Oreochromis niloticus: one gene and its partners. The protein of the gene in region 1 purifies or fractionates together with the protein of each later gene. This does not show direct contact. Links are inferred from orthologs where the notes say so. Each region holds a gene or a part of one and is shown on either strand. Other genes may lie near its edges.

What was found.
Region 2: the proteins of sf3a3 (region 1) and snrpa1 purify together in Homo sapiens (affinity purification with mass spectrometry; 6 studies listed by BioGRID and IntAct, counting the BioPlex papers as one, with this or other methods). This does not show direct contact. The link is inferred for Oreochromis niloticus from reciprocal best matches to the Homo sapiens genes SF3A3 and SNRPA1.
Region 3: the proteins of sf3a3 (region 1) and rbm17 purify together in Homo sapiens (affinity purification with mass spectrometry; 4 studies listed by BioGRID and IntAct, counting the BioPlex papers as one, with this or other methods). This does not show direct contact. The link is inferred for Oreochromis niloticus from reciprocal best matches to the Homo sapiens genes SF3A3 and RBM17.
Region 4: the proteins of sf3a3 (region 1) and snrnp70 fractionate together in Homo sapiens (co-fractionation; 3 studies listed by BioGRID). This does not show direct contact. The link is inferred for Oreochromis niloticus from reciprocal best matches to the Homo sapiens genes SF3A3 and SNRNP70.

What each region holds. Positions count from the first base shown.
Region 1 is NC_031985.2:38,727,449-38,734,880, reverse strand, and holds the start of sf3a3 (splicing factor 3A subunit 3), read left to right. Parts: upstream 1-4,415; 5' UTR 4,416-4,908; coding exon 4,909-5,004; intron 5,005-5,114; coding exon 5,115-5,162; intron 5,163-5,573; coding exon 5,574-5,626; intron 5,627-7,432. UniProt on the Homo sapiens protein: Component of the 17S U2 SnRNP complex of the spliceosome, a large ribonucleoprotein complex that removes introns from transcribed pre-mRNAs.
Region 2 is NW_020327524.1:105,993-113,806, forward strand, and holds the start of snrpa1 (U2 small nuclear ribonucleoprotein A'), read left to right. Parts: upstream 1-4,800; 5' UTR 4,801-4,912; coding exon 4,913-4,994; intron 4,995-7,116; coding exon 7,117-7,264; intron 7,265-7,814. UniProt on the Homo sapiens protein: Involved in pre-mRNA splicing as component of the spliceosome. Associated with sn-RNP U2, where it contributes to the binding of stem loop IV of U2 snRNA.
Region 3 is NC_031981.2:35,258,905-35,266,397, reverse strand, and holds the start of rbm17 (splicing factor 45), read left to right. Parts: upstream 1-4,486; 5' UTR 4,487-4,615; exon of another isoform or gene 4,616-4,872; intron 4,873-5,018; 5' UTR 5,019-5,043; coding exon 5,044-5,166; intron 5,167-6,015; coding exon 6,016-6,132; intron 6,133-7,493. Other genes in the region: il15ra (interleukin-15 receptor subunit alpha), read right to left, coding at 817-864, 942-998, 3,495-3,692, 4,258-4,327. UniProt on the Homo sapiens protein: Splice factor that binds to the single-stranded 3'AG at the exon/intron border and promotes its utilization in the second catalytic step. Involved in the regulation of alternative splicing and the utilization of cryptic splice sites.
Region 4 is NC_031969.2:2,185,003-2,192,886, forward strand, and holds the start of snrnp70 (U1 small nuclear ribonucleoprotein 70 kDa), read left to right. Parts: upstream 1-4,882; 5' UTR 4,883-5,093; intron 5,094-5,423; 5' UTR 5,424-5,430; coding exon 5,431-5,577; intron 5,578-5,665; coding exon 5,666-5,728; intron 5,729-6,659; coding exon 6,660-6,714; intron 6,715-6,802; coding exon 6,803-6,867; intron 6,868-6,975; coding exon 6,976-7,038; intron 7,039-7,884. Other genes in the region: scaf1 (splicing factor, arginine/serine-rich 19), read left to right, coding at 401-706, 782-910, 1,819-1,977. UniProt on the Homo sapiens protein: Component of the spliceosomal U1 snRNP, which is essential for recognition of the pre-mRNA 5' splice-site and the subsequent assembly of the spliceosome. SNRNP70 binds to the loop I region of U1-snRNA.

The DNA of each region.
Region 1 (7,432 bases):
TAAAACTCTTTCAGCTGCCTTTCCTGACACCGTTTTATGTGCACACATCTTTTTAGTCCTTTTTGGAAAAGTAAGCACTTGTTGTTGATTCATGTGCTGAAGGCACTATCCCAACAGTCAAGCTTCATTTGACTGGTTTTTTACAGAGTCAGTGAAAAGTACACATTTTAAAATGGTAAACAGTAAACTTGCAAATACTAAATCGAACGAAATCTGTCCTGGACTTTAAAGGACACCTGATTTCTATGGATGCTTTCACACAGCAGTCACACGTTCTAAGTTCATCAGGAGATACAGGATTCCCAGAAACTGGAGTATGAATCACAAAACCACACTGTTCAGCCTGAGATCTGCTTTGAATGTAGGCTTCTCCAGCTTCCATCTCATGCTCAACACCCTGTTTGGAGGGTGTGTTAGAAAATCTGTGCTGTGGGTTACACACCTGTTTCACAACAGTCAGGCTGGCCTTTCAAAACTTGTGGCATGTATAAAGCTGTAATTATTCCTGACGAACTCTCAGTAGCATCAGTCACACATACAGCATCTGTGCATTTCTCACAGTCCTGCTGAAGAAGTTTCAGGTGATCTGAGTCTTGTCGATTTATCGTACAACGATGTCACGCTTGAATTCCTGAGAAACCAACAGCTTTGCGGCGCTGCAACAACGTTCCAAGAAGTGGCTGCAAGTCCTCGAGTTTTGCTCGTGGGCCTTTCCGTTTCTGGGACTAGTCCTCATGGCGGGCATGGGGGAGCCTTCACTTGTGCTGTGGTCAAACATCTTCCTCTGTGCAGCTGAAGTGGTTAGCTCTGTGTCCCAGTTCAGCGTTGATCTTTCGCATATTGCTGAGCAAAACCCAGTAAGCTGGACATCTGTGGCTGTCCTTGTCCCCCGTATCCTGACTGTTGCCTCCACTACTGTCCACGACTCTGCCGTACAAGTGCAGTGTAAAATTTTATGAAACAGCACACATCTCGTAAGCTATATCTTTGTTCACACAGCAATGTTTTCACAGTTTGGAGGTTTCAAAATGTCCAGGTCATGCTCCCAGCCACTGGTCACAAAATCACAAAATCATGTTACCATGTAGTCACTGCCATCACACACAAGTATGCAGAAACATTGGGAAATGTGAGGGGAGGCCTCACGGTCTGATATCCAGTCATTTTTCTGAAGCTCATAAGGACCCAATGATGATCCAATTAAGCTGATTTTTTTCAATCTGAGGTGTCTTAATCCAGCATTAGTCCATCTGTACAGTCTGTTTTCATTCAGACTTGAGAAGTATCAAAGAATTAACTGGTAGTTTAGGTTTGTGGCTTCAGCCACCCTATAAGGCACTGTGCAGTGAATCCATCAATGGAATGAAGGGAGATACTTAATAGATACTGTAAGGAAAAGTTAAACTGTGGACAATAGAAATTCATCAGATTGCTGAGCCGCTAAGCACAACTACAAAAACTCAAAGCCTCAAAGATTTTCCACCTCGCAATCATCAACAAGGAGCTGAGGTCACCGAGCCAACGACGTATTTTCTGGGTAGCAGATCGAAAAAGGAAAAACATCACCTTAAACAACATTACGGAAAATATGTTTGTGTGATCGTGACATTGTCAAACTGGTAACTTATTGCTCACTGAACTGTATACATGTCATAGGGCTGTTGTTACACACTTCAATATAATTTAGGGACCTGTAAATGTGCCCGTCTGCCCACACGTTTTCATTTGGATAGCAGGCGGAACGGGGTTTTCACCCACTGCAAACACGCTCCTGTGTAGCCCTCCAAAATCCAAACGAGGATGATATATGCTTTGGTCAAATGCCTACTGGTTCACAAGTGGGCCAGAATAAGGAAGGAAGACAATGGAGTTCACCAAGAACAGGAGTGTGAAGAAATAGTCAAAGGTTTGTTTAAAAAAAAACCCAAAACAAACCTCTGTGCAGGAAGACTGCCTTACATTCCCCCTACTGAAGTTCATCCAACTTTATTTACCTTGTCTGTGCACTGAACTCACATCAGTCCTGCTGGAACAGAAAAAGGTCCTTTCGCAGAACTCTAAAAACAGCCGTGATACGCTTCTTTCTATGTCCAATAAAGGAGAAGACAGCCTACTGACAACACAACCCTGCTGCCCGTTGGACTGCTGAATGATAATAAAAACAAGCAGGGTTGTCCTATGTCCTCATCCAAAGATACACCTGCAGATGTCATTAGTTACATACCGAGCTCTGGTGTGGTTCCCTCTCATTCTGCGAATCAGCCAGACTTAACGTTTGTCAGTCACAACCTACGAGTCTCAGAAAAAGACACCTACAAGGTCAGCCTTGCTAAATCAATTGTCCCCGTTATTGTGTATGTGAGAGAGGAGCTCAAGGTGAATGCCTCTATTTACATTCCCTGGTGTGCAATGAAAAATGCATGACGCAGACGAATGGCTGTGAGGGCATTTTTGCTGCTCACATGAATATAGAATCACAGTCAGTAAGGACAGATTGTTGGGTGTACATGACAGTGGCTTTGGTGAGCTTACTCCACGTTTGACATCTGACAAACAGCTGCAGCATGAAGACTGTGCTGTTAACTGTGAATGAGAGCTGATACCACATTTTAGTTTTTGGTGGGGTTGGTTAGAGTGATACAGAAGGACATCATTTCAGATCTCAGGGTAAGCTGCTAACATCTCTGTAGACATCTGCGTGTTTCCAGTTGTCAGGTGAAGACAAACATACTGAAACCAAAAGTTGGAAACATACCAGTGGTTCGTCTTGGGCTTTTGCCAAAACACATTCGGAAGATGTTTTCTTTCACCGTCGGGTGCCAAACTGTCACAACAGCTCAACCGGTCACCGATTACTGAGCGAGTCTACACATAGATCCCACCCAGCAGGGCACTCACAGTCCCGTGGATTCAATCTGTTCTTTTGTCTGAGGCTAAAGGCTCAATAAAACAGTTCAGAGTTTGGGTTTTCTGTCCGGCTAACACCCCTGAACCTTTTCTGTACCCGGCTCTGTAGAGAGGGAATTCCCACTTTTGGCTCGGATTTCTAGCAAGGCTATTTCGGTGTTAATGGTTGAGTGACGACTGGCCCAATGATTATTATAGTTTTCATTTTATTAAGTTCAGTTAGGTGCATGGGTATATGCCGAATTGATGTGCATCTGCCTATGACTCTAAAGGTCTCGTATGGTAAACATACACTTGTTTAATGAGAAACGGGTTTAAATCTGCTCAGATGTTAGACCAAGTTCGGGGGAACCCTCTTTAGTCAACATCAAACAGCTAATAAAGCTGTATATGAGGGGCCAGCGAGCTCCCGCGGCCCGGATCGCCTGTTTTGTTGGCTATGTGTGAAGAGTTAACAGCAAGACAGCCTCGCAATCTTTATACCCGCCGAAGAAGATAAAGCTGAAGGACACACTTGTTCGACATCTCTCCTCTCCAGCAGCGGACCTCAGTGACCGCTGCCAAATCTGCTCCAGCACAAAAGACAGAATGGATGCCCCCGCCACCACCACGACCACCCCGCCCCCTTCCCCACAAAATAACCCAATAAATCTTCGTTGTCTTCATAGAGTTGACTCCATTAGCGAAGAATATGAGCAGCTCACCTTTATAAGCTGGCTGGACGTATGTGTTATAAGCTCCACTGTTTATTCTGTAAATCCGCAACGCTGCTCGTCCGCTTCTTTTTACTGTCCGCTGCTTTGACTGACTGCTTGAGAATGTGGTGAAACCGCGACTGTCACGGTAGCGACCGTTACGAGCACAGTTTCCGGTTTAATCTGTCAAAATAAAAGCCTGTGGCTTATTTTCCCCGAAGACTGCCTATAAAAAATAAGATTCATATGCTGCAATACACTTTAACTCAAATGAGGTTAAAAAATTACACTGGCGATCTGTTAAATCTCAGAAGTAATTTTTCACTTGTGCACGAGTAGACCTGAGGCTTGTAATGTCCATTCACCCAATGTCAATACTCATAGAATAGTTTTGCACTCGTTAGCCTATTTGCTTTATCTTCCCTGATCCTACTGTGTAACATGTTATTTCTAACCATTAATTTTTAATTTGGATTTTATTTTGATACCAGTGAAAATTGCCGAAAAAAATAACAAGGAATAAACAAAAATGTCAGTCTATAATGCAAACTAGTTCAGATTTTTTTAACTGAATCAAGCAACTGATTTAAAAAAAAAAAAGCCCTCCGAAGAAGATGAGAAGAAGAGGATGAATGGACGCATTTTATGTTAAGACACAGAGTTCACACTTCCGGTCTATTTCTCTTTTACCAATCCGACGCTTGACGGCTCCAGACTGCCTTCGTGCGCGCGCCTACGCCAGGGTGCGCTGTGTGTTATGTCAGGCTTTGATGATAGTGTAGACTACAAAGGAAGTGCAAAGAGAATACCGAGCACGCGGCACAGACCGTGCACGGTGTGGTGCCAACCCATCACGTTGAAAAAGTGTACTTTTCAGAAGCAGTTTTTACATTTCAGTAATGTAAAGACCAGGGATCCTCTTGAAAGGAATTGCTGTTATGCCCATCAACTCATCTAGCTAAAAAGGTCAAAATATAAACGAAACCATTACTTTCAACAATTTGTGTCAAAGGATTTCACGGTAATTGTCTAAAAATAAACTGGAACCAGTGTTATTATTAACTGTCGAAAGGCTTCAGATAAAAAAATATAGAAGTATTGTACACAGACATTACCACGGCGGAACCCTTCCACGGGTTCATGTTTCTCTTACGGCTAATACAGTGCGGGCCGTTAGCTCGTCGACATGCGCCATTGAAAACAAACGTACAAGATACGGCGGGTATTGCCGCTTTCCTTCATTTGTATTCTACCCCATTAGAAACCTTAATTCGTCTTTAGCAAACGTTCGACATTTTTGCGGACAATGGAAACTATATTAGAACAACAGCGTCGCTATCACGAAGAGAAAGAGAGGCTAATGGATGCTAAAACTAAAGAAATGTTACACAAGAAGTCGACGGTGAGTGGTGCCACTTAAGGCTAGCTTTAGCATTGTTACGCTTGGTCGTGAATCCCAGAAACCCTGAAATTAACATTTTTCTGTGTGTTTTTTTCCAACTCTCGTTTCAGCTGCGTGAACAAATAAATTCTGACCATCGAACAAGAGCGATGTTGGATGTAAGTAAGAGTTTGGACTCATTTAAAACTGCTCTCACCAACTGGCTAATAGTATTTGCTGGAAATTCAACGAATAACTAACCTTTCATAAAACCCCAGTTACAATTTTGTAAACGTGCAAAGAACAATTTATTAGCAGATTTGATGCATTTTCATACATTAATCACAGAAAAGAGGTCAGATAAAGAATGTAATCAGATGTACTGAATGAAGCGGTGTCACAACGAAATGACACTCCAAAAATCTGCCCCAAGTGCATCAGAGGTCATTAAAACTAGGTGTAAAATATAAATGGTTAAAACCTGACTTCAGAGACGCACATTGGAGACAAAGAATCACTTTTGATAATTAGCAACTTTTCACTGTTAATGGTCAACACTGGTAAAAAGGTATCTGTGCTTCTTCTTGCAGAGGTATATGGAAGTGAGCGCAAATCTCAGAGACCTGTATGAAGACAAAGATGGGTGAGTGTTTTCTTAGCGAACAGTTATTTCCACTCAAATATAGATATGTTGGCTGGACCTTTGTGCGGTTACAGGAGTGGAGGAACAAACTTTTGAGCGGTTATTTGAAAAGTAGACCAACTAATGGTGTATTCACATGAGAAGCCTGAAAAATCTTGTGACAGTCAGGATGGGGACGTATTTCTAAGTTGCCCTTTCTTACATGTAGCACATGACGGGAGATGGTTAACGTCAGCTCCAATCTCACCACTTCTGGAAATGATGTGAATCTGCTATAGCAGCAGTCCCAACCCCGGGCCTCGGACCGGTACCGGTCCGTGAGTCGTTTGGTACCGGGCCGCGAGAGTCGAGGCTCAGGTGTGAAATGTATGGTTTTCAGGGTTTTTATCGGTTTTCAGCGTTATTTTGTTATCGTTTTTATCGTTAACTCGGTTTTCCTGGGTCTTTTCACGTGTGTTATGAATAAAGCTTCTTTTTTTCGGTACCGGCACTAGTTTTATTTTGTTGTATTTATCCGCGACACCTTATTGCCGGTCCGTGAAAATATTGTCGGGCATAAACCGGTCTGTGGCGCAAGGTTGGGGACCGCTATGCTATAGGGCTGTTCAATATAACGATATATATCGGATGACGATATAAAAACATCTATCGTTTCATTTTACGCTATCGTTTGTTTCGTGGTGTCGCAAAATAAGCTGTTTACGGCAATATTTTTTCATTATTTTGATGGTCACTGTAGTGGCTATATTAATTTCTTAAAGTTCTCTCTTTCTCTTATATTTAATATAACCACACTACAGACAGACAAGCAACTGTTTTTATCCGTTGTCGTTAGCAACAACGACGGTGAAACCACCTCGTGTCCGCTTGTTTATTTTCCACATAAACCTTTCACAATAAAGCTCAAGATCCTGTTGAGACTTTTCAAAATAAACTGAATTACATGAAAGAGTATGCAGAGTGTTTATGGATGAGAGTCACCAGGTGCTAAAAAATAAACCTTAGACTCAAACGTTAGAACAGGCTTTTCCCCGCAGCACGCCGTGTGATAAATACTCACAAAGAAAACGGCGGCCGTTACAACCTATGTCTAAAAATGTATAGTTTCATGCATCGGTTAAAACACTCGACTCCAAGTACACAACCCCAAGCTGGAAACACTTCCCGGAAGTCGAGCTGCCAGAGATTGACAGAATTTACAGAAAATGTTAAATTTTAGTGATTTATATCGTTATCGGGACGATAGATGTCTTAATATCGGGATATGAGATTTTGGTCATATCGCACAGCCCTAATCTGCTAGACTATTGCCTGCTCTACTGTGGCATTGTTGTTGTTCTCTAACTTGGGATTCACACACACACGGGTTTATTCACCAATCTAGTAGCAAATCACTCAGAAACACGACAGCTAGATGACAATAAGAAATACTTTATTTATCCCATATTTCTCAAGTTTTGTTGGTGCAGGAGTTTAAATGATGAGGAAATAATAGTAATATCACAAAATGCCCCTCTGTCACACACAGGAGACCCATCGTCAATGAGAATAGCGCTACACCAAACCAATTGTGTGCCTCTTCTAGACAGGTTGCAGTAAGCAGCACAGAGGAGCCGGCTACTGCAGCTGGGCATAGCAGTATGTTAGGCATGTGAGCAGGATAGAAGACCAAATGACACCAAATTGTGAAGACAAATGTGAGCTGTAGCATTACTGAAGACACCTGAAAGGACATGCCCAGGGCTCACAAGATGAGGACACTGTTGGAAAAGACGGGTCCAAAGAAATATTCTGGAGATATTGTGG
Region 2 (7,814 bases), on another chromosome or scaffold:
AATATGTGTGCCTCTTGGCATAGGCACACATAATTAAGAAAGATAGAACCAAGAAAAAAAAAACAAGAAAAGACAAAGACAGACTATGCTAAAAAATGTGATGCCACAGCACTAGTCAAATTGGTCAAGAGTAATAAGAATGGCGAACTGTGTTTAAATTATGTCACAAAATGTCAATGATGAAATATACAGTGTTTATTTCCTGGTTAGTCTGTAGTGGCTCCTGAAAAGCAAGTCTACCACACCGTCACCAATTTGACTGAGAGCTCAAAGCTCAGTGACAAGAACGCCTGACTCCGGGTCAGAGGTAGTAAAAGTACAGACATTCTCCACTTATCTGTTCTTCCACTTAAGCTGAAGAACAGATATTTTTGTTAAAAAATGCTCCAGTAAAAGTACTGATTTAACATCTTTACTCAAAAGTGAAATAGTATAGTCCTTGAAGTGTAGCTTCTCAAAGTACGTAATCATTCTCCATCTCTGACAGAAGTTAGCTCTCATTCTTTTCTCTCCCTGGAAATACAGCAGCTGGACCTTTATCCAGCAACACACTGTGCAACAAATTACACAGGAACTAGAGGTGGGCAGATTGATCCAAATATCGACAGTATCGATACCAACACTGGTATCAGTATCAGACTGATACTAATGCAATTGGATTGAATCTTTTTTCTATCCTCAGTTTTCAGTATGAATCCCACTGAACTGTGTTAAATACATTTTTAGTGTATTTTTAAAAATATTTTTTAATGAAAAAATATAGCTCAAAATAGTATATAGCACAAATGGTAAAATGGTAAATGGCCTGTATTTGTATAGCGCTTTACAAGTCCCTAAGGACCCCAAAGCGCTTTACACACCCAGTCATCCACCCATTCACACACACATTCACACACTGGTGATGGCAAGCTACATTGTAGCCACAGCCACCCTGGGGCGCACTGACAGAGGCGAGGCTGCTGAACACTGGCACCACCGGGCCCTCTGACCAGGGCCCGGGCCCTCTGAGTTACACAAGCTCCCTTTATAGGTTAAAACTATCAGTATCACTAAATTAAGGAAAGTATTGGTATTGGCAATACTTTCCTTAATTTATTTTGTACTGGATCGATACCAAAATTTGTAGTATCGCACAGCACTAACAGGAACAGTTTGTGTGTTTGCTCATGTTTTTTGAGCTGACAGAAATGTTTTAGAAACGTTATGTCACTGCTCCAGAAATGACCAAATGACGTGTTTTCACTATTTGTTAAATTCTCTTGCAAATACCAGCTGTACATTTTGGGCGTCTACTAAAATAAAAATAAAAGAATCCTAACATCAGACCCGTTTTTTTAAAAATTCATTAAGTAGCATGAGCTGTGTACACATGTGTAATGTATTTATTGTGTTTTAGTGTTTTACTATGAGTGTTTAACTGTATTTAGCTAATTAGACAGATCATATAAATCTCTGGATGTTTACAATGGCCATGAATACTAAAGGCAGGAAGTCTTTTCTGCAACCTTTCCCAATTGTTTCACATTGATGATCTTTTTCTAGCCAATCATTTGTGCTGAAAAATACAAATGTTAATTGAAGAAAATGCACATATTAATCACAGTAAAATTACGAGGGGCAGTAAAAACACTGAACACAGAACGCAAGTACGGACTTGCGTAATCAAGTATTGGACGAGAGACAGCGGTAAGAGGAAAGGAGGGGGACTGGCAGTGTTTGTGAATGACAGATGGTGTAACCCTGGGCACATCACTGTAAAAGAACAACTCTGCAGCAGAGACATTGAGCTGTTAGCCATTAGCATGCGTCCGTACTACCTGCCCCGGGAATTCTCGCATGTTATCGCGATAACAGCGTATGTCCCCCCCTCGGCCAACACGGATGCAGCCTGTGACACTCTCCACTCAGTGGTCAGCAGACTGCAAACACAATCTCCGAGAGCCCTTCTCATAATATCAGGGGACTTCAATCATGCCTCACTGGACTCCACACTGCCCACCTTCACCCAGTATGTGACCTGCCCAACCAGAGACAATAAAACACTGGACTTACTGTATGCCAATGCAGAACAGGCATACAGTTCATCACCTCTCCCTCCCCTGGTCAGATCTGATCATAACCTGGTGCACCTTGTCCCTGTGTATGAGCCCTTAGTGCGCAGGGAGCCACCAGCCACCCGCACAGTGCAGAGATGGTCGGAGGAGAGCGAGGAGGCTCTTAAGGATTGTTTTGAGTCCACTGTGTGGGAGGTGATCTGTGACGACCACGGAGAGGACATCGACAGCCTTACTACATGCATTACTGACTATATTAATTTCTGTGTGGACAACACCGTACCTACCAGGACTGTACGGTGTTTCTCCAACAACAAACCTTGGATTACTCCAGAAATTAAAGCTGTCCTCAAGCAGAAGAGGAGGGCCTTCAAATCCAAAGACAAAGAGGAGTTTAAAAGGGTGCAGAGAGAGTTGAGGGGACTGATAAGGAATGGGAAGGATAGCTACAGGCAAAAGATGGAGAACCAGCTTCAGCAAAACAACGTTGGTGAAGTCTGGAGAGGCCTCAGAACCATCTCAGGCCACAAACATCACAACTCTCTGCCTGGGAGGGATGTGAGGTGGGCAAATGAACTGAATCATTTCATTCATTCATTTCTTCAACAGATTTGATTCAGCCATGAGGCAGTCTCCAACATCGGCTGCAGACTCACCCACCCCCACTGCTGCTGTTCCACCTCAGACACTTCACACCTCCTCTATTCACCCTGCTCACTCCTCCCAACCCCCAACAACAGCATCCAATACACACTCAACACAAGGCTCCAGCCTGTCTCTCTCAACCACCCAGGTTAGGAGGGAACTGAGGAGGATTAAAGCCAAGAAGGCAGCGGGTCCAGATGGCATCAGCTCGAGGGTCGTCAGGTCCTGCGCTGACCAACTGTGTGGGGTGATGGAGCACCTCTTCAACCTGAGCCTGAGGCTGGGAAGAGTCCCACAGCTCTGGAAAACCTCCTGTGTTGTTCCAGTGCCAAAGACTTCACGCCCCAAGGACCTCAACAGCTACAGGCCGGTGGCTCTGACATCCCACCTGATGAAGACCCTGGAGCGGTTGGTCCTGGCTCAGCTTCAGCGCCTTGTGAGCTCATCACTGGACCCACTTCAGTTTGCCTACCAACCTGGCATTGGAGCGGATGATGCCATCATTCACCTCCTACATCGTTCCCTCGCTCACCTGGAGACCACTGGGAGCACTGTGAGAATCATGTTCTTTGATTTCTCCAGTGCCTTCAACACTATTCTTCCCTCGGTTCTGAAGGACAAGCTGGAGAACTCTGGAGTGGACCATCACCTCACTACCTGGATTTTGGACTACCTCACCGACCGACCACAGTATGTGAGGACTCAGGGCTGTGTGTCGGACAGGGTCGTCTGCAGTACGGGGGCCCCACAGGGAACGGTTCTGGCTCCGTTCCTCTTCACCATCTACACTGCAGACTTCTCCCACAACTCCACCCAGTGCCTACTGCAGAAGTTCTCTGATGACTCTGCAATAGTCGGCCTCATCACTGATGGGGACGACAAGGAGTACAGAGGACTGACTCAGGACTTTGTGGACTGGTGCCAGCTGAACTACCTCCAGATCAATGCCAGTAAAACCAAGGAGCTGGTGGTAGACTTCCGCAGGCACAAACATCCTCCACTGCAACCACTGAACATCCAAGGTATGGACATTGAGGCTGTGGACAGCTACAGGTACCTTGGTGTTCATCTGAACAGCAAACTGGACTGGACTCATAACTCAGACGCCCTCTACAGGAAAGGGCAGAGCAGACTGTATCTGCTGCGGAGACTCAGGTCGTTTGGAGTAGAGGGCCCACTCCTGAAGACCTTCTATGACTCTGTGGTGGCCTCAGCCATCTTTTATGGTGCGGTCTGCTGGGGTGGCAGCATCTCTGCTGGGGACAGGAAGAGACTGAACAGGCTGATCCGAAGAGCCAGCTCTGTTCTAGGATGCCCTCTGGACCCAGTGGAGGTGGTGAGTGACAGGAGAATGGCGGCTAAGCTGTCATCCCTGTTGGACAACATCTCCCACCCCATGCAGGAGACTGTGACAGCACTGAGCAGCTCCTTCAGTGGGAGACTGCGGCACCCACGGTGTGGGACGGAGAGATTTCGCAGGTCTTTCCTCCCCACTGCTGTCAGACTCCACAACAAAGACTTTAACTGATCAAACACACACATCCACACATGTGCAATAACACTAATGTGCAATAATCTTTTCTGGCATCGTTGTATTTTTACTCAGTTGTATATAGCATTTGTATTCTATTTTTATCTTATTGTATATTTTATTCTATTTTATTCTACTGTATATAGTATTTTATTTTATTCTATTCTGTACAGTTGTGTACTGTATTTATTCTTATTTTATTTTATTCTAATTTTTGCTTCATAACTTTTGCACTGTCCACTTCCTGCTGTGACAAAACAAATTTCCCACGTGTGGGACTAATAAAGGTTATCTTATCTTATCTTATCTTATCTTATTGTCAAACGGCAAGTGTCGACACACTTGTGCCACACACTCCACGAGGCGTCATCTACCCGTCACTGTTAGTAAAGTGCTTAAAACAAACGAACAAACAGATCCTATTATGCCCGACAGGCAAAATCTACCGGGTCACGTCCCTCAGTTAGGACCATTCCTAAGCAAAGTGGAAGGATCAAAAAACGAAATGTGCATGCAACACCACCCTCCCTCCGCGGGAGGCGCTATAAAAAATAAAGCAAACGTTGTCGCCACGTGATAGGAAAGATGTAAACCTTTTGTTCCGGGCTGCTTGGTGTAGCGGTGTACACTCGCTTTGCTGTGAATTTAGGAGACGTGATAAGGTTCCTTTTTGTTCGTTGAGATGGTGAAGTTGTCCGCGGAACTTATTGAGCAGGCTGCTCAATATACAAATCCCGTGAGAGACAGAGAGTTGGATTTAAGAGGTGAGTTAAATTGTCCTTAATACAGCATACATAGAAAGGCCTGTGCTCATTAGCTTACGCACATTTTACGCGGGCCTTAACGTGAGCCTCATTCAAAAACTTAACTGGATAGTGTTCAGTTTCATACGAACTGCTGCAGAAATAATGCTGGCTTATGTCTAGACACAACAAGGCGGATTTCATCATAATGTACTGTATATTAAAAGGGTAAATTGAGTCATTCCATCTGAAATCTTAGAGAAAATAAAAACCCATAACATTTTCTGCTCAGCCAACTCAGATTTGCCTGAAAATTGTATGTTTTAAAACGTTTGTAATAATTGCGATTAAATTTTGTCTTCATATATGAAGACTATGAAGACTTAATATAAATTTGGTTTCAGGGTATTTTAGGTGAATTGAAATCTGAGAATATGTTTGAACATAAATATCTCTGAAGATAAAATTTGTGCGTTTTCTCACCAAAAAATGTAATTGTGGTCAGCTAGTATGGGCTACAAATCCCATCATAACAAACAAAAACATACATTATTAAAAACATTCTTGATTATATTTGAATAATCTGTTAATTCAGGTTACATCATCACCAAGCTGCATTCTGATAGCACTTAAGGGCAAGCAAATGTTTGCATTCATAGAAAGAGAAAACCCACGGTAAAATAATTGGATATACAAAATGATTGTAGATGATTGTTGTCAGAGCTGACATAGTTATCTGCACACATTATGTGTGTGTTAGTGAGGAGCCGTGATAAGGTTCCTGTCAATCTGCCCCAGGGCAGCTGTGGCTACAACTGTAGCTTGCCTTCACCGGTGTATGAATGTGAGAGTGAATGAATAGTGGTATTGTAAAGCGCTTTGAGGGATCCCGAAAAGCGCTATATAAATGCAATCCATTATTATTATTATTATTATTATTATTTTAACTGGATGACTTTTAATCTGCTATTAATCGCATTATATGCATAATTCCATAATGAGTTAAAAAGTTGTGTATTGTATTTTAGTACTATTGCTATATGAGCAGTCAGATACTTTCAGGATATTTTTCTTGTTTTATTTATTTTTTTACATATGCTTTTTAACAGCAGTATTCCTGCTGCGCAGTAGCAGTTAAAGTAGCTCTTTAATTTCACCTTAACCATGAACCTGATCTAATAAAATCAAATAGTTATTTGTCAATTACAGGGCATTGACATTTTGTCTAGTTTGTTTTAGAAAAACAAGTTACCCTCAGTTCAATGTCACAATTATAACATTACAAACAAAACATGTTACTTCAAGAGATGTTCCTGTATTATTAAAATGTGACAAATTAACACCCAAAAAACGAATAAATTGCGACTGAGAAGTGTGGTGCCTTGTGTTGTGCATTGTGAGTAATGGCCATTATTCTACAATTCATGGAAACCATTTTAATAAAAGTTAAAATCTAAAATAAAATAATTCATCCAGCTATTTTCTTCTGCGTATCTGAAATCAGGTCGCGGGGCCTAAGCAGTTAAACCCAGACCTCTCTCTTGCAAATCGCTCCCTCTAGCTTATCCAGGGAAAACACTGAGGCATTTCCAGGCCAGCCAAGAAAGCCACCATGTCCTGGATCTACCCTGGGGCCTCCTCCCAGTAGGACATGCCCAGCCAGAACACCTTACCCAGGAGGCAACAGGCTCAATGGCTCCTTTTGATGTGCAGAAGTAGCAGCTCTACTTCGAGCCCCTCCCAAATGACTGAACTCATACTATGCTGAGAGAGAGCTAATGCACCCTTTGGAGAAGGTTATTGGCCAGTTATAGGCCAATACTGTGCCTTAGCATGGAAACTCCTGTCATGCATCATAGCAGGCAAGATGAGCAGGCTCAAAACACGAGTAGGGCCCTGAAGGGAACTGACAGAAACACCACGGGGGGAAAAGATCGGCTACTGGTAGAGCATCGAGCTGTGAATTGTGATGAATTGATATCACTCTCACTCCTGTGCCAGGAGTGAGAGTGATATCAATTCACTGATCTACAACAATGATATCAGAATGTCATTTGGAACAGAGATGTGTAGTCAGATAGTAGCAAAGAAAGGGAAGATGCTATCTGTATTTTAATTATTTTATTTTTTTGTTTTCGCCCAGGTTATAAAATCCCAGTGCTTGAAAATCTTGGAGCTACTCTGGATCAGTTTGACACTATAGATTTCTCTGATAATGAAGTCAGAAAATTGGATGGCTTCCCTTTGCTTAAAAGACTGAAAACCTTGCTAATGAACAACAACAGGATTTGGTAAGTTAGAGGTGTGTGTGTCTGTGTACGTGTGTTATTGAAAAAAATAACACTGCAACCACTGTTGTCTTCACCCGATACCCTGGTTGTATTATAAGGTGCTCAAAGGAGGAGATATTGACATAAAGACAAAACTCCATACCATGCATGAAGGATTACATCTCAAATCCAGCACTCTGCAAACATATGCTTGCCGAAAGATGGCTGAAGACTGAGTGTCAGAACCACTATCCAGGGCGAAACAACAAAGCTCCTTGTGTAATCCAAGGGCATAAATGGAACACCATAACCAGATACCTGGGATAGCACTCGGCCATGGTGTCTGTTGCGTCTATTGGAGTGTGAATCTTTGCGCTTGGATAGAAAACAGTGGTTGTATGAAAAGCTATGGACAATGGGTCTAAGGATTTGGACTCATTGCCTCATCAGCTGAAGTAGGGGTGGGCGGTATAAAACGGTATATGGTAGAAACGATATAAATTTGGCCAACGGTAGAGATTTTGACTACCGCTCTACCGCAATCCGGTTGTTCAGTCTGACGTCACTGGCC
Region 3 (7,493 bases), on another chromosome or scaffold:
CATAGGAGCTGGGACGTTTTTACCTTACTGTTAGTAAGGGTCCAAACCATGTCCCATAATTTTAAAAAGTTAGTTCTTGAAGTGGTGATTATGATATCAAGATTGTCTGGTTGCTTAGCTGAGCGGTGTTGAACTATAATGATTAAAGCAACTAACCATGAGAACACTATTAGAAGTTTCTGTTACTGGATACATTTTCATTTGACATGGACCGATGCTCTTCATTTCCATGATGCTAAAAATCATAAATAAAGCAATAAAAACAAAATTTGTTGATATCATTCAAAGCAGATTTGCTACATATCTAATCTTTTTGTGTTGTTGTAGGACTTGAGGTTTCACTACAGTAAACCATTTCCTTTAATAGTAGTTGCACTGCAACGCCTCTCCTGGACTACATGGAGAGTCATTTCACCCAAATTACCCAGTTCAAATTTAGACTTTTAGGAACGTGCTCACTGTACACCTACATAGCCCGTGTTACATCTACTAGTTTTAACATTCCAACCGCCAACACTGCAATATATCAATAAGAATAATAACTTAAACTAAAGGGAAATTCATGTGTCTGACTTAGTTCATCTGCCATTTGTATGAGAATTAAAAAGCCTGATGGCTGCAGGTACTGGGGTTTGTTTTGGTTCCATAAGAAGTTGTAAAATGGGTGATAAAAGTAAGATGAGTGTAATATATACACACAGACTAATATTAGTCCTAGTGCCACACTCTTGAGACATTTAGTTTCCTTTTAGTTTATTAGTATTGGTTATAGGTCACGGCTTTTGATCATCACAATCATGCAAATAGAGAACTTACTGATAGCGGAAGTACTGATGGAGTAATGGGAAATATCAGTGCGACTCTCTGCAAAACCAAACCATCATTAAGCACACATGTCAGCAAAGTATGGCTAACACCATTTTCCTTAGACAGGTGCTTACCCGTTGTTGTTGCCCTCGTTGCTTTTGGTGGTTGTGTTGTGGTTATCCTTGGGTCACCTGAAACAGGACAAAGAAATGCATTTTTTTTTTTTTTTTTTTTAAACTGAAAGTGGGAAAGCTCAAAAATGTACTGTATGGATCAGAGACCTATTATAGATTATAAATCTATTATCACCGCATTCTGGCTGAACGTATCATTGATTTGACTAAGATCCAACTATACAACATGTCCAGGGTGTTCTATAGTTAGACAGTCACATCCCTTTTACTTTGCATTAATTCAGTTCTTCATTTCACTGCATTCTCATGATGTACTTCTCTACACATCACCTGTCTATCACCACACACACACTATGTCTTGGTTCTACCGACTTTCCTTCCTTCACTTTTCCAGGCTCTCCTAAACCTCCTCCCTGCTTCCACTAAAGATCGTAATGTCATCTATGAACATCATAGTCCACACAGACTCATGTCTGACCTCACCAGTCATTATCATAGCAAACAAGAAGCAGCTAAGAGCTGGTCCCTGATGTAATCCCACCTCCACATTGACCTCATTTGTTGCTGTCCTCATACGCTTCCTGCATCACCCACACATTTTTCCTGTGCCACTTCTGATTTCCTCATGAAGTACCAACCTTATGCTTTCACTAGATTAAAGACAGTACAACTTCTGGGGTATCTGGTGAAACAAATCTTAGGAAACAGGAGTACACAGCCTTGTGGGATGACAACAGGAAAGTTGGACAGCTAATGTGGCTAAGATTGAGTACAATCAGCAAGGCGGCAACTAGGAAAGTCAAAACAAATACAAAGCACAAGAGACAGACCACCAGAGTAAAACAGGAAATAACAGACTTAACCATACGAACTTGCAGAAAGATGACCATGAGACAAAACTGGAGCAACAGAAGAACTAAAAGCAAAAATAGAGACTGAAAAAGCATTAGATACTCATCTCCATCTGCATGATAAACAAAGAAAACAAAATGAACAAAAAAAACCCCCCAAAAGAAATCAAACCCATAACACTTAAGTCTGGGTACAAGACCCAGGGAAAGTGACATTTTATCCCCACTATAACTCTGCACATCACTGCCGTTCTTGTAAAAATAAATATCAGCACCAGTGCACTTCTTCATTCCTCGGGCATTATCTAATTGTGTTACACAGCGTCTCAAAAAGTCCACTGCACTCACTTCCTCCTTACTAATCCTCTGGATCTCCTAAGTTACTAAATGTCCTTCCTCTGTTCTCCCCTTCACATTTCCCTCTTTCATGAAACCTTAAAAGTGCTCCTTCCATACAATGTTTTGAGTCTATAGATTACATTTCATATTGCTATGCATGCTGGAATGAAAATCTGTTTCCTAGCGGGTGAATAAATGTTTGTAGTGTGTACAAACAGGTGCATGCATGAGATTTTCACTCTGAAACCACTCCCCTAGAGAAAATATTCCCTCATTTCCTTTTACAGTAGATAATGTCACCTTTTCACCAAGCTAGGCAGTCTAAAAAGGAAACTGCTCACCGGTGTCAGCTGTGACAACACAAAAACAAACCACATGTGGGTGGCTTTGCACTGCACCCAAAAGGAACCATTGCATTCTCTTATCTCTTGTACATTTCAGACTTCCAGCCAGACACCTGCCGTCAACAGTTCTAGTATGACTCTGCAGTTGATGATAAATCGGAAGGGAGGATGTGCCAGTGTACTAGAGAGCGTGGGACGGTTTAGTCAGCTGGTTTGAGCCGAACCATCTCGACACACGGGGCTGTCAGTACTGTTGATGTTTTATCAGTAAACAGTGGCCCAGTGTGACTTGTTCAGCCAGAGACTGACAAAGACTAAATAATCCACCGATAATCATGAGACATCCTTCAGTTGTGCCGCCATGCAGATTATAAAATTCCCGTGACACTTTGAGCAGATACCAGGCACCAGCCTACACTCTGCATTAATATTTTAAGTTCCTCTAGGGCATGCATGTAGGGGCTGGCCTTCTATAAACCGTCTCCACCCATTCATCCAGAGCGGACTTTCAGGGTTACCTAGCGATTCAGTCATCCCCTGGGGTAATGACTGAACGTAACAGCTCCCAGTTTTCAAAGCGGTAATGGATAATGATAATGGATTCATGTTATGATAATACCAGTACTACTACTTCTGAACACTCAAAATTCAGACTGTCAGTAGCTACTATTAGCTGTAATCTAAGAATCTCGGGTTATAACAAATACGGGTTCATTGATACTGAATTTTTTAAAAATTTATTTATTTTTTAAGGCCAAATCTAATGTGAATACTTGAAAGTTGACCAAGTGGGCACCAAGTGGAACTTTTTACACTAAAAGGAAAAAGAAAAGCAACAAGCCACAGTACCGCTGTTTCCAAATAACCTCAGCTTGGAACTTCAAGAGAAGTGAAGCCTCTTTGAACCATTCAGCTGTGTTTGGGACCTCATAACAATGTACTGGTCTACATATGGGTGGATAGAGAGATTTTTTCACTTTGATATGGTGTTAAGAAATGTACCAGCAAATAATACTTACGTATACACACCAGCCATGGTTCGCTCCACTGTGGAACAGCTCCCCGATCATTGCATCTGATTAAATTTGAGGTTCCCACTTGTCTCAGGTAGCCATCCTTACATTTGTAGCGAAAAATGTCACCTATTTTGAAGCAGCCTTGTTGTGGGAGATTTGTTAAATTCAACTTTGGGATTTCTGGACATGGACAGCTGTTATCTGTAAAAATTAATAATGATAACTTTTTAAAATAAAAATCATACGATTTAAAATAAATAACCAGTATATTTTTGGTGAATGGTGTACGTAAGTTCCATAGTACATGGCTATAAGTTAGAATTAAAGGAGGCGTTAATAAAAACTTCGACACCATCACATACACATCAGGTTAACCCCGATTCTAAGCCCAAAATTTAGCAGGATTCATAACGATACACTTGCGACTTTCAGCATTTAGGTTTCACTATGAAGATTTACGACACGGAACTGACTCCGAGACGGTGAGAAACAATGATTTACCAAAAAACAAACAAAACACAAATCAAGCCGCAGGTATGTTTTCAATCAGCAATTATCCCCCTCCGACATATCTCACTGGTGTAAAATGCTCAAGTGTGCGAGTTTATGCCTTCTATTTGAACGACTTGTTTTTGAAGGTGATCAAATTTTATCACTGATTAAAATTTGATTAAAACATAAAGAAAACAAATCGCGACATGCGCATTTAAAGCACTTTCTGGACGTACTCGCATGTACGCTCGAGTTGAAATTTGTTTGCACTTACCGCTGCTGGATAATTGAGGCCAACAAACTATCATAACGCAGACGGAGAAAGCCAGTGAAACCAAAGCCATCGGACACCTCGGTAGTGACTTAAAACATGTTCACTAAATAAAACCTGGCCGTTAAAGACCATCGTCGCTGTCGCCACGGTATTTCTTTGCGTTCACACTTTCGCTTTATATCATGCCACTCCCCTTGTGCTCGTGTGTGATCCGCCCATTTTTAATAATAGGGCATATTTCTGCAGAAATCGCTGGTTGCGCTGGTCATCCGGGCGCCAGATGGCGCAAGATCGTAAAATGCTGGCAAATGTTAGCTCTTGTTTTTGCGCTCAGGCTTCCGTTACGAGCAGTAAGGAGGTATATCAAATATGCTGGTTAGCCCTCTTTAAAGAAAAAAGGAGAGAAATATGAACTGATTTGTGATTAATTTCAAATTCTATATAACACTGGTAGCCAAAGAGACAGTGGAACAAATGTTGGGTTTTTCTTAACACATTGCATAAGGAGCAGACATTAGCAACATTAGCCTCAGCCTTCGTTTGCTAGCTAACGTTTCACAGTTTCTCCTGGGAAATTTACTTCAGGATCAGCGACAAACGACCGAATCACAAAAGGTTATACGGAGATTTGTGATTTAGCTGTTGCACGTTATAACCGTTTTTAAATTTTTTGCTTTTTCCAAGCAGTGAAGGACTAAATAATGATGACGTAGCAAGGCTCGATAAATATTGAGAAGTGAAACGTGTTTGTGTGTCCGAAGGCAACAGGACCACTGACGGGCAGCAATGTCGCTCTATGATGACCTTGGTGTGGGTGCCAGTGACACTAAGACCGAAGGCTGGTCCAAGAACTTCAAGCTACTACAGTCCCAGCTAAAGGTGAAGAAGGCGGCTCTGACACAGGCCAAGGTGCGTGCAGTACTACACATGTATTATAGTGGGCTGTCATTCAATCAAGCTTAACGTGCACTTTTGTTTATTAGATGGTCAGAAATGATGATACTTGTGCTTACATTTGTGTGTACATTTGTATTAGCGTGTGAAAAGGGCTCTTATTTTTATATTTTTAAATAATAATGCAATTTAATTAACAAAATATTTTATATTAATTTACATTTGGTCTGAAAAATGTTATGAAAGTCTTGAATGAAATCTGGTCTAGTACACCCCAGTCGAGGCTCACCGGTGTTTGCCTCAGGTATCTCTTCTATGTAAAACTGAACGGTTGCTGTCAGCCTTCATTAAGCTGTATGATTTAAACACAGTACCAGACTATGTTAATGGTTCTGCACATTTTAATAAAACTTCTGCAGCTTTACATGACTGAAGAGCACGTTTGGGGTGTGGGATGTGCAGCCAACATATCCGCTGCAACTGGATGTCATGCCAGTATTGAACAAAAAGAATGTTTGATTTGCATCTTCCTCACAGCAATCGCTCACCTCTTAAACGTTATTTAAAAGAATCTTCCACCTATGTGCGCATCACACTATTAAAAACTGCATGCTGGACCATGATTGGCTTCTAAAGCAGAGCATGAGAAAGTCAGACTTTAAGGCAACAAAAAAAAACCCCATATCAGTTCAGCTGAAACTGAGCACATCCTAATGAGTTCAGAGTAAGAAGTGATGTTGTGTCTTTTTGCTATGCTGATTTTCTGTTTGATGTATTTCTACAGTCACTGATTAGAAGAAGAACAAGGTTACTGGTTGTTTTGTTTATGCTTTTTTTTTTTTTTTTGGTTTTGTTTTTTTGTAGACCCAGCGGATGAAGCAGACCACTGTCTTGGCGCCTGTCATTGATCTTAAGAGAGGAAGTTCCAGTGATGAGCGACAGATCACAGACGCTCCTCCACATGTTGCAGCTGGTCTCAAGGTACGGCTCACAGTGTTGGTTATGGATGGGTACCCAAGACTGGTGTTAAACTGTTACTGGGTTGGTCAGTATGGAAATATTGAAAAGCAGCTGGACAAATTATGCTGTTTATGCAGCATTACTTGATTCTTAAATATCTGTTAGACCCAGTCTTCTATAATGACAAAACTGGTGGTGATTGTGTCTGACGTTGCTGTGTGTTCACATTCTCTCTGATCATGGCTGTCAGGCTGAATGTTAAAAAGCAAAGGCTCGCTTCAAGACGGGTAGGTAGTTGCATATTAGCAGAGTAACACCAGCAACCTTTGGAAAGCTTTACAAGGATTCTTTTAGTCAGTGCTTCCTCGGATATGATGAGATTTGCTGAACTAAAAATAAAACTTTCCAAATAAAGTCAAGACTGAATGTTGTTTTTAAAATAAATCTGCTCATTTGGCTGATAAGCAGCAGCCACTGCTTCTTTAGTGGACACTGGTCAGATACTAAAGTCAAGCTTATTCTCAGTTTCTACATGAGACAGGAAGAAACAGATTTACAAGGCTGTTTTCACGGTTCAGTGAGGAGCAGAGATGGGCAGTAACGCGTTACTGTAATCTGATTACTTTTTCAAGTAACGAGTAATGTAAGGGATTACTATTGCAAAAACGGTAATTAGATTACCATTACTTTCACGTAGGAACGCTGCGTTACTGCGTTACTAAAACCGTGATTTTTTTGCGAGAATGTCTCATGACAGTGACGTAAGCGAGTGCGACGTTCGTGACAACAGCTGTGTGCAGATCAACAATGGATAATATATCGAGTGCGGGAGAGAGTATGAGCATGCAGCGTTTAAAGCGTGGAAGTACTGACCTTATTTTGAGTTTGATTCCATAAAAAGTGACAAAAACATTAGTGTCCGTTGTGCGTGGGAAGAAAACTTCTTTTTACAGCGAAAACCCCCCCATAAACTTCCAAGCAAGCACCGAGTGCGCTACGACGTAATGTGAAATTCACAGAGAAACTCGCGGATTCTTCCATTGACCGCTGCGGCACACCTGCACCAGGGTAAACCTCCGCCTAACCCACTCCTGCTTTACAGGTGAAAATAGAGCAACACAACCGCTAGTCTTTGATTTCATTTATTTTCTGCTGTGTTTTACTTGCATCTATTTGAAAGAGTGAGTGTAAACACAAAAAAATATTTTATTTTATGTGCTGGAATGTGCAGAAAATAGGTTTAAATGTTAAACAAATTTCTTCCAGTCAGAGAATGTTGCATATAATTAAATTTTTGCTTGATGCATAAAGTTAAAAGATTTAAAGTTTAAAGTTTTAAAAAGAGACGTTTCCATTTGATTACATTTTGTATGATGCATTAT
Region 4 (7,884 bases), on another chromosome or scaffold:
ACACACACACAGACACACACACACACACACAGACACGCACACACAGACACGCACACACATACAGACAGACACACACACAGACACGCACACACATACAGACAGACGCACACACAGACAGACACACACACACACAGACGGGGACACACACACACAGACGGGGACACACACACACAGACGGGGACACACACACACAGACGGGGACACAGACAGACACACACACACACACACACAGACAGACACACACACACAGACACACACACACACACAGACACACACACACAGTGCTAGAGGGGGACCTTGCTGTGTATATGGGAGCTGCAGGCTCCTCTGTGTGTTGAAATGATGATCCTGTTATTGTTTGAATGACCGTGAATTCGTTTATCTCCTTTCTCACATGCAGATGCTCTCACAGGCCAATCAGAACCAGTCCCAGCTCACTCCTTCGGCGTCCTCTTCCTCTTCATCCTTACAGATTCCTCCCCCTCCCTCTCTCCCCCCACCTCCTGGACTGAGCCCAGCCCAGTTCATTCTGCACGGCTCCCTCCCATTGGTTAGCTGCACTAAAACTCCACCTTCACACCTGCACCCTTCAATAGGTGGTGGATGCGCTCAGACTCCACCCTCCATCGTACCTGTGGGGATGACGGGTGTGTCTGGGAGTTCTAGTGACACTGGATGGGACAATGAGAGCAAAGACCCGGATAAGGTAAACTGGAACTGTGTTGTTTGTTTGTTTTTGTGGGTTCCTTTATTTAACATGATGCTTACCTGAACTGCACAGTACCTGAAGAAGCTGCACACACAGGAGCGGGCAGTAGAGGAGGTCAAGCTGGCGATCAAGCCTTACTATCAACGCAAAGACATCAACAAGGAAGAATACAAAGACATCCTCAGGAAAGCAGTGCATAAGGTGAGCCTTCACACACAAATCCAACCACATACTGTTTTATATATCACATGGCTCATGTTGACTTTGCACTTTGCAGCTTAAAGTTTACAGTGTGGCTAAAACATGCAGTATTTCTACAATAAAACTATGATGTTTCCACTGAGATCCTGGTACCATGCCTTTGGGTAATGCATTAACAAATAAATGCAATAATATACATTCAGTGAATTGGTCTTTATCAGTAAAATAATATGAAATAAGAATAATAAAGACAAATATATGGATATTGACATTATTAGCATAGTTTATTTGCATTAGTCTCAGATTAGCTTGGATTCATTGACACTGGCACTAGTCTCTTCTTCTTCTGATTTCCCTATAAGCGCACACCTGAACACATCTGCACACACCTGAGCACATCCTCGCACATCTGCACACAGCCTCACACATCGTTACACATCTGCACACAGCCTCAGTGGCCAGAGAAGGTGAGGTGAAATGATAATGTTGCTGACATCAGGTTTTTTAATCACAAGAGCAGTAAAAGCATCCTGGCAACTCTTACAGAGAACGTAAGAACAAAGAATCACCATCTGTACATTTCATTCATGCAGACTCACATGAAACACAGTCACACTCTGCAAACATACAAAGGAACGCTGTTGGTGCCATGGGCGTGAACTACTTTGTAACTGCTGACCCTTTGCTGTTAGCTTTCTCTTTGCTATGCTAGCTATCAGCTGCCAAACAGTGCCCTGCTGCTGTGTAGTGCACCTGAGTGGATTGTCCTGCTCTTTCATTGGAGCTTTTATGATGGGATTGGACCAGCATCTGGTCAAAATGTCTGAACTGTGCGTCCATAAATGAAGTTATGTTCTTCTGTTCTGAATTGTTACTGACTGTTTAATCACACTGTGTCTTTATCTTAGATCTGCCACAGCCGCACTGGAGAAATCAACCCAGTCAAAGTCAGCAACCTTGTGAAGCTGTATGTTCAGCGCTACAGATACTTCCGTAAACACGGGCGCAAAATGGACGAGGAAGAAAGGGATGACAGGGAGCCAGGAGCACTGCATCCCTCTGCCTAATACAAGACTTTTGGGTGGGGGTGGGGGTGTTCCACCTTTGCCACAATCTGCTCAGTACGTGAGCAGTTCACTGATTGTCATTGCCTAATTTTATTGTTTCCATACCTTCCCTTGTCTATACTTTCATGTAGAAGTATGTATCCTCATCGCTGTAATCATGTTGTAAATATTCCTTTCCAGATGTATCATGAACACAAGGTTCAGTAAGTAGATCCTGTCTAGACACTCGTGTGAGCTAGTACAGTCCCGTATTGAACCCTGCAATAAATCCTACCTTTGTCAAGGGTCTAGTGCTTAGTTGTTGTTGGTTGGATTTGTTAGAAGTGTCTCAATGGTGGGACTAATTACAGGACCTTTTTTAATAGTATTGAATTAAATGTTTATGATGATGATCTACCCCACCTCTCCTTTATATCAACATCCAAACTGAGAGGAGATGTAATACCCAGCTGCACACCAAAAGGAGTTAAACAATACTAAACAGAAGAACTGCGTGTCCCCCGTGTCCCTGTGTCTTTACAGGCAGCACGTAGGCTGTTGGTCACTGCTGATTTCTCACTTCTTTTATTGTGTATTCTGTGCATGTTACTGAGAATGACAGTTATACTCAGCCTCTTTATAAAATGACCAACACACTATAAATGTTACTTAACACTGGTAAACATTGTATTATTTATTTTGTCTGCTTTCTGTCAGTTGTTTCTGTTCATAGAGAGACTGTTCAGGATTTTCTCGACGCGTCTACCACAGCTGTAGCTGCTGCTGTCACAGGCTAGACCAGTTTAACCACCCTGAGACTGGGTAGGGTCCTAAGGCTGCAGCCCCTGAACTTGGACACAGCCTGTAGACTAAACTATAATAATATAACAGACTGTATATAAATACAAACTCTGGCCAGCTGTGTCGATCAGTTATCTATTTTGGCCCCAGCTGTTCCTAATAAACACTACATGATGGTCCCAGGTGACCTTCGTTACATAAATGTACATACAACCCACTAACACATCACTTTCCAAATTGAATTCATGTCCAGAGATGAGACACAGGCAGACTAGGCTAACAGGTTTGATGTTACAACACTAGTCAAATATTACTGTGTAATATTTGTCCAAAACACATTTCTTTGTTATGGAATAAAATGAATTCTAAAGTCACAACCAGTAGGAGTGGCAATTTCTAGAACTTCATCTGTATAATTGGACATTTCTTACCAGCGTAAACTAAAAATAAATACACAAAACCATTTCATTTAGTTTACTGGTTTATTTGCAAGACACAAGAACGTGAAACCCTGAAAGTTACAAATGTAACGTGCATGAAATGGGAGGTAAACGCGCCAGACCTGATGAAGTCAAGCTGCCTGTAGGCTGGGGCGCTTGGCCACAAGGGGGCAGTAGTTGGCTGGAAACTGGTTTTATGGTATTTTATTGGTCAAGAGCAACAAGAATGACGAACTGTTTCATAACAGGTGTCGAACTCCAGGCCTCGAGGGCCGGTGTCCTGCAGGTTTTAGATGTGTCGTTGATCCAGCACAGCTGATTAAATGGCTAAATGACCTCCTCAACATGTCCCGAAGTTCTCCAGAGGCCTGGTAATGAACTCATCATGTGATTCAGGTGTGTTGACCCAGGGTGAGATCTACAACCTGCAGGACACCGGCTCTCGAGGCCTGGAGTTCCCCACCCCTGGTTTTAAATGTAGCCACACAAACGGAATATCCGGTGTTTATTTCCTGGTTTGGCGGAAGCGTTTATCACACATCTGTTTGACCGTCTCCAGCTCATCTGGAAGGCACGTGCCGTGCCAGGCTAGGTGTCCGCGACAGAACGGGAGCGCGCACGGGGCAGGGAGCGCGGATCCACATGACTCCGCCTCCACTGCAACAACTAAAGTGGAAGTAGTGAGTTTTACTGAAACAGTGAAACACGAGTGTCGTGGGTTACAGCAGGATACCTACCATACATCCTGTTTACTGCACGTGACTGTGACCATTGGTCCACTACCAGCCATTTCATTTGGTACAAATCCACTCTTCCACGTTTGCGTGGGTTTCCTTCTGAGCACACGCAGCTCCCTGCACCACCTGTTCACGCCGTGTTTACGTCCCTCCTACGTTACTACGATCAAGTACGAGTCCACTAACTTTATTCTCAAAATGATCAACAATGTGTTTTCCTTCTGTGGCCCTAATAAAATAATAAAGTTATTATTTTATTAATGTACAATACAAATGAATTATTGCCAGTTTGCCTTGAAACAACTGTAATCTGTATATTTTGACTTGATTTTTAAAGTAGCTCTAATATTCCGTCGTAGCTTCGTATCTTCATAAGAACCAAAACAATCCAGTTATTTTGGACTTTTTCTGGAACAACAATCGCTTTGGCGCATACACTATAAAGAATGTGAAGAGTCAGAGGGTGTGCGTCTTTCTTTTCATAAATTAATGCCGACTCAAAGCTTCTTTTTTTATTCGCAAAATCAACATACAAACAAAATGCACCATATTATACATTCAGAAAATATAAACTTCTTACCAATTAGCAACCTTTGTACAAAGAAAAAAAAGATATAAAGACGGGGTCATAAAAGTTAACAGAGTATTAACTCACTAAATCAAAATCTTCTAAAAAGGAAACAAAAAAAGCAGCCTTTTTTTTTAAAGTCAAAGATTTAACCAACAGGTTTAAGTCGTTTTTCCAGTGAAGTAGGGTTGGTTTGGTCTTAAAAAACGACATTTATGTATATATTGCTTACACGAGATTAATAAAACACCATAATTGGTTTTCGCTTCCTTCAGAAACACTCCAAACAATATCATAATGTCGACTCAACGCTTAATTCTCAATCAACTTGGCATTTCCTGAACGATTCGGGTTTACGACAATTGTCGTTATTTTGCGGCATCCCGCCATTTTATTTGCGAACTCGACACAGTTAGCTATTTGTCGCCGCTGCACGCTGTGGGTACCTTGAAGATCAGATTCTTATTACTAATAGATCCAAATATATTATCTGCTTCAGTCGAAGTAAGTTTGTCACAAAGGAACTACCTGATCTCGCGCTTCTTCTTCTGATACATGATCTGAAATTTGCTAAACACTGGAGGAGAGAAGGTAAGACTCCGCGGATCCTGCATGTTAGCATTGTGTGCTTCGTGCTAATTCGAAAGGCTCAATTAAACGCTAAACATGTCGATAGAACTTAAAGTAAAACCTGTCAGCGCATACATTTCAGATATCGATGCCGTGTTGTTTGTAAGTTAAGGAAGATGTTGGGTGAAAATGAAACGCGTGCTAGCCATATGGTTGTAGGAGTGTCGTCGTAATCAGGACAACAGTTAGCATGTTACGAGAACTTCCGCTCTTGAGGCTGGCGCGTGCTTCAATGCCCGGATTGACCAGCATATAAGTGTCAATGAAGTGATCCCCTTGTTGTTGCAATAGGTGAAAAATGACGCAGTTCCTACCACCCAACCTCCTGGCCCTCTTTGCTCCACGGGACCCAATACCTTTCTTACCTCAGCTGGTAAAGTTACCCCACGAAAAGCACCACAATCAGCCCTACAGTGGGATCGCCCCGTTCATCAGACATTTCGAGGTGAATATTAAATCTTCTGTGCGCTTTGGTTAGCCCTTCTTCTTCCGTCCCACATTAGTCCTGTTAAATATCTCCTTTCTCTGACCAGGACCCGAGAGATGCACCGCCTCCAACAAGAGCAGAGACCCGTGAAGAGCGGCTGGAGAGAAAAGTGAGTATTCACAGCACTTCACCTGTTCCATTTGTCCACATTCGTTCTCTCTCCTACACACAACAGCCCATAATGACACAGCAAAGAACGTTTGACTGAAAGCTTTGCAGACTTGGTAAAAGTAAGACTGACACTGTGTAAGAAAGCAGTTCAGATTGTCTTGATGCATGCTCAATCATCCAGGAAAGTAAATCTCCAAAAGTTGATTCTGTTCATCTGGACGTAGCGTTTTGTGGGAGAAACATTTCGTCACTCATCCAAGTGACTTCTTCAGTCTCAGCTGACTGCAGGTTTCCCCGATCTTATAAACAGTACATTTGCAGAATGACTGAAACCAGCCCACTGAAGGAACAATGGGCTGTGAGGTCAGTTCCTTAATCTTAATTATGCAAATTCTCATGACCATTGATCAACAGATACTGACCAAAACCCACTGATCAATGGCCATGAGTACCATTCATCTTACAATGCTGTGATTGCAGCCATTCCCCAACTCTCTGTACCCTCCTTCACCTCGATACAATCCAGTCTCTGAGGACAACTCTTTGAACTTCACGGCTTGGGTGTGTTCTCTGACGTGGACTGTCAGCTGTGGGACCTTTATACAGGAAGTGTGTGTCTCTTTCCAAATAATGTCCAGTTCGCCTTATTTACCACAGCTGGGACTCCAGTCAGGCTGTAGACATAACATCTGACAGATGATCAGTGGAAACGGGATGCATCTTTTAACTTTCTGGGGTGTTTTGTGAAGAATTTTGAGGTGGAAATGAATTTAATCCAAGGCTGAAAGAAAGACCGTGGAACAGATGAAGCTCTGTGAAGTCTGTATGTGTCAGGTTTTCTGAGAATCTCATGATAACGTGAGGAAAAGACAACGATCATTAAGAAAGCTGAGCACTAACCATTTCCTGTGAATCTTTTGTTTTTGTAGAGACGAGAGAAGATTGAGAGGAGGCAAGCAGTAGTAGAGACAGAGCTGAAGCTTTGTAAGTTTCTGACACGGCACACGCTCTGCAAACTCTGCGTGATGTGGTGATTTGGCCTAATCTTGGTTTTCTGTTTGCATGCTATCAGGGGACCCTCATAATGACCCCAACGCACAGGGCGATGCCTTCAAGACTCTGTTTGTGGCACGAGTGGTTAGTATATTCAAATAGCTGCCTATCCAAGTGTGTTGGGTTTGGGGTTTTTGGGCGGGGGTGTTACCTCTATGGACTGTGTGAACTTTAAATATCTTCTTTCTACAGAATTATGACACCACCGAGTCCAAGCTTCGCCGAGAATTTGAAGTGTACGGCCCCATCAAACGGGTACGTTAACACGGTCCTGTCTGAGTAATGTTGTGCTTAATGTCATATTTATTCATTTAGTACTTTTTTTCAGTTGTCGCGTACAGTATACAACTGACGTCGGCACACTTTTCTGCGTTGTTCTTTAATTATCAAATGTAGCAGTGCAGAGATGGTAAATGGAACAGAGGGTATTTGAGCCACGCTTACAGCCATCCAGATTCAGCTACGCCTGTTCTGCATCGAGTCTAACAGTATTAGTGTTTTGAGTCATGCAACAATCCCCGGATTGTAAAGAATATCAAGGAAAACAGTTAGCCTTTAAAACTGTTGCAGATAACTTTCTACAGGAAGAGAAATTTAATGTTACCTCGATTATTGGAATACTTTCCAGCTGCTGTAATAATTGTATTGACTGTCGGGCTCCACCAAAAAGTACTAGACACGTGTCCAGTTGAAGTCAGATGTCTTTCTAAAGGTGCTCTGACATGAAATTTTCCCCAGATGTCACTAACAGCTCATCTATTCAAATCATGGCTGTCCATAAATGATGTGCACGAATGAGAAATGACACAGAGAGAAAGTGTTGAAGGCCAAGTCACAACACCGGCTGAAATCTGTCAGTAAGGAGAAAACATTCCTGCTTCACTCAGATTAACATCAGCTCATTCAATCCCAACCTGCAGAAAGCTGTATCGTTACCGAGGTGTCACACAAGTAAGGTCTTATTATGAGGAGAACCAGTGAGCTCTCTCATGACTTTGGCAAACTGGTGGCACTGGTTACAGAAACATCTCTAAACTCTGCAGCAGTGTTGGGCCGTAGTGGAGGAGTGGAAGGAACATCATTTCACCATAAACTGGTCAC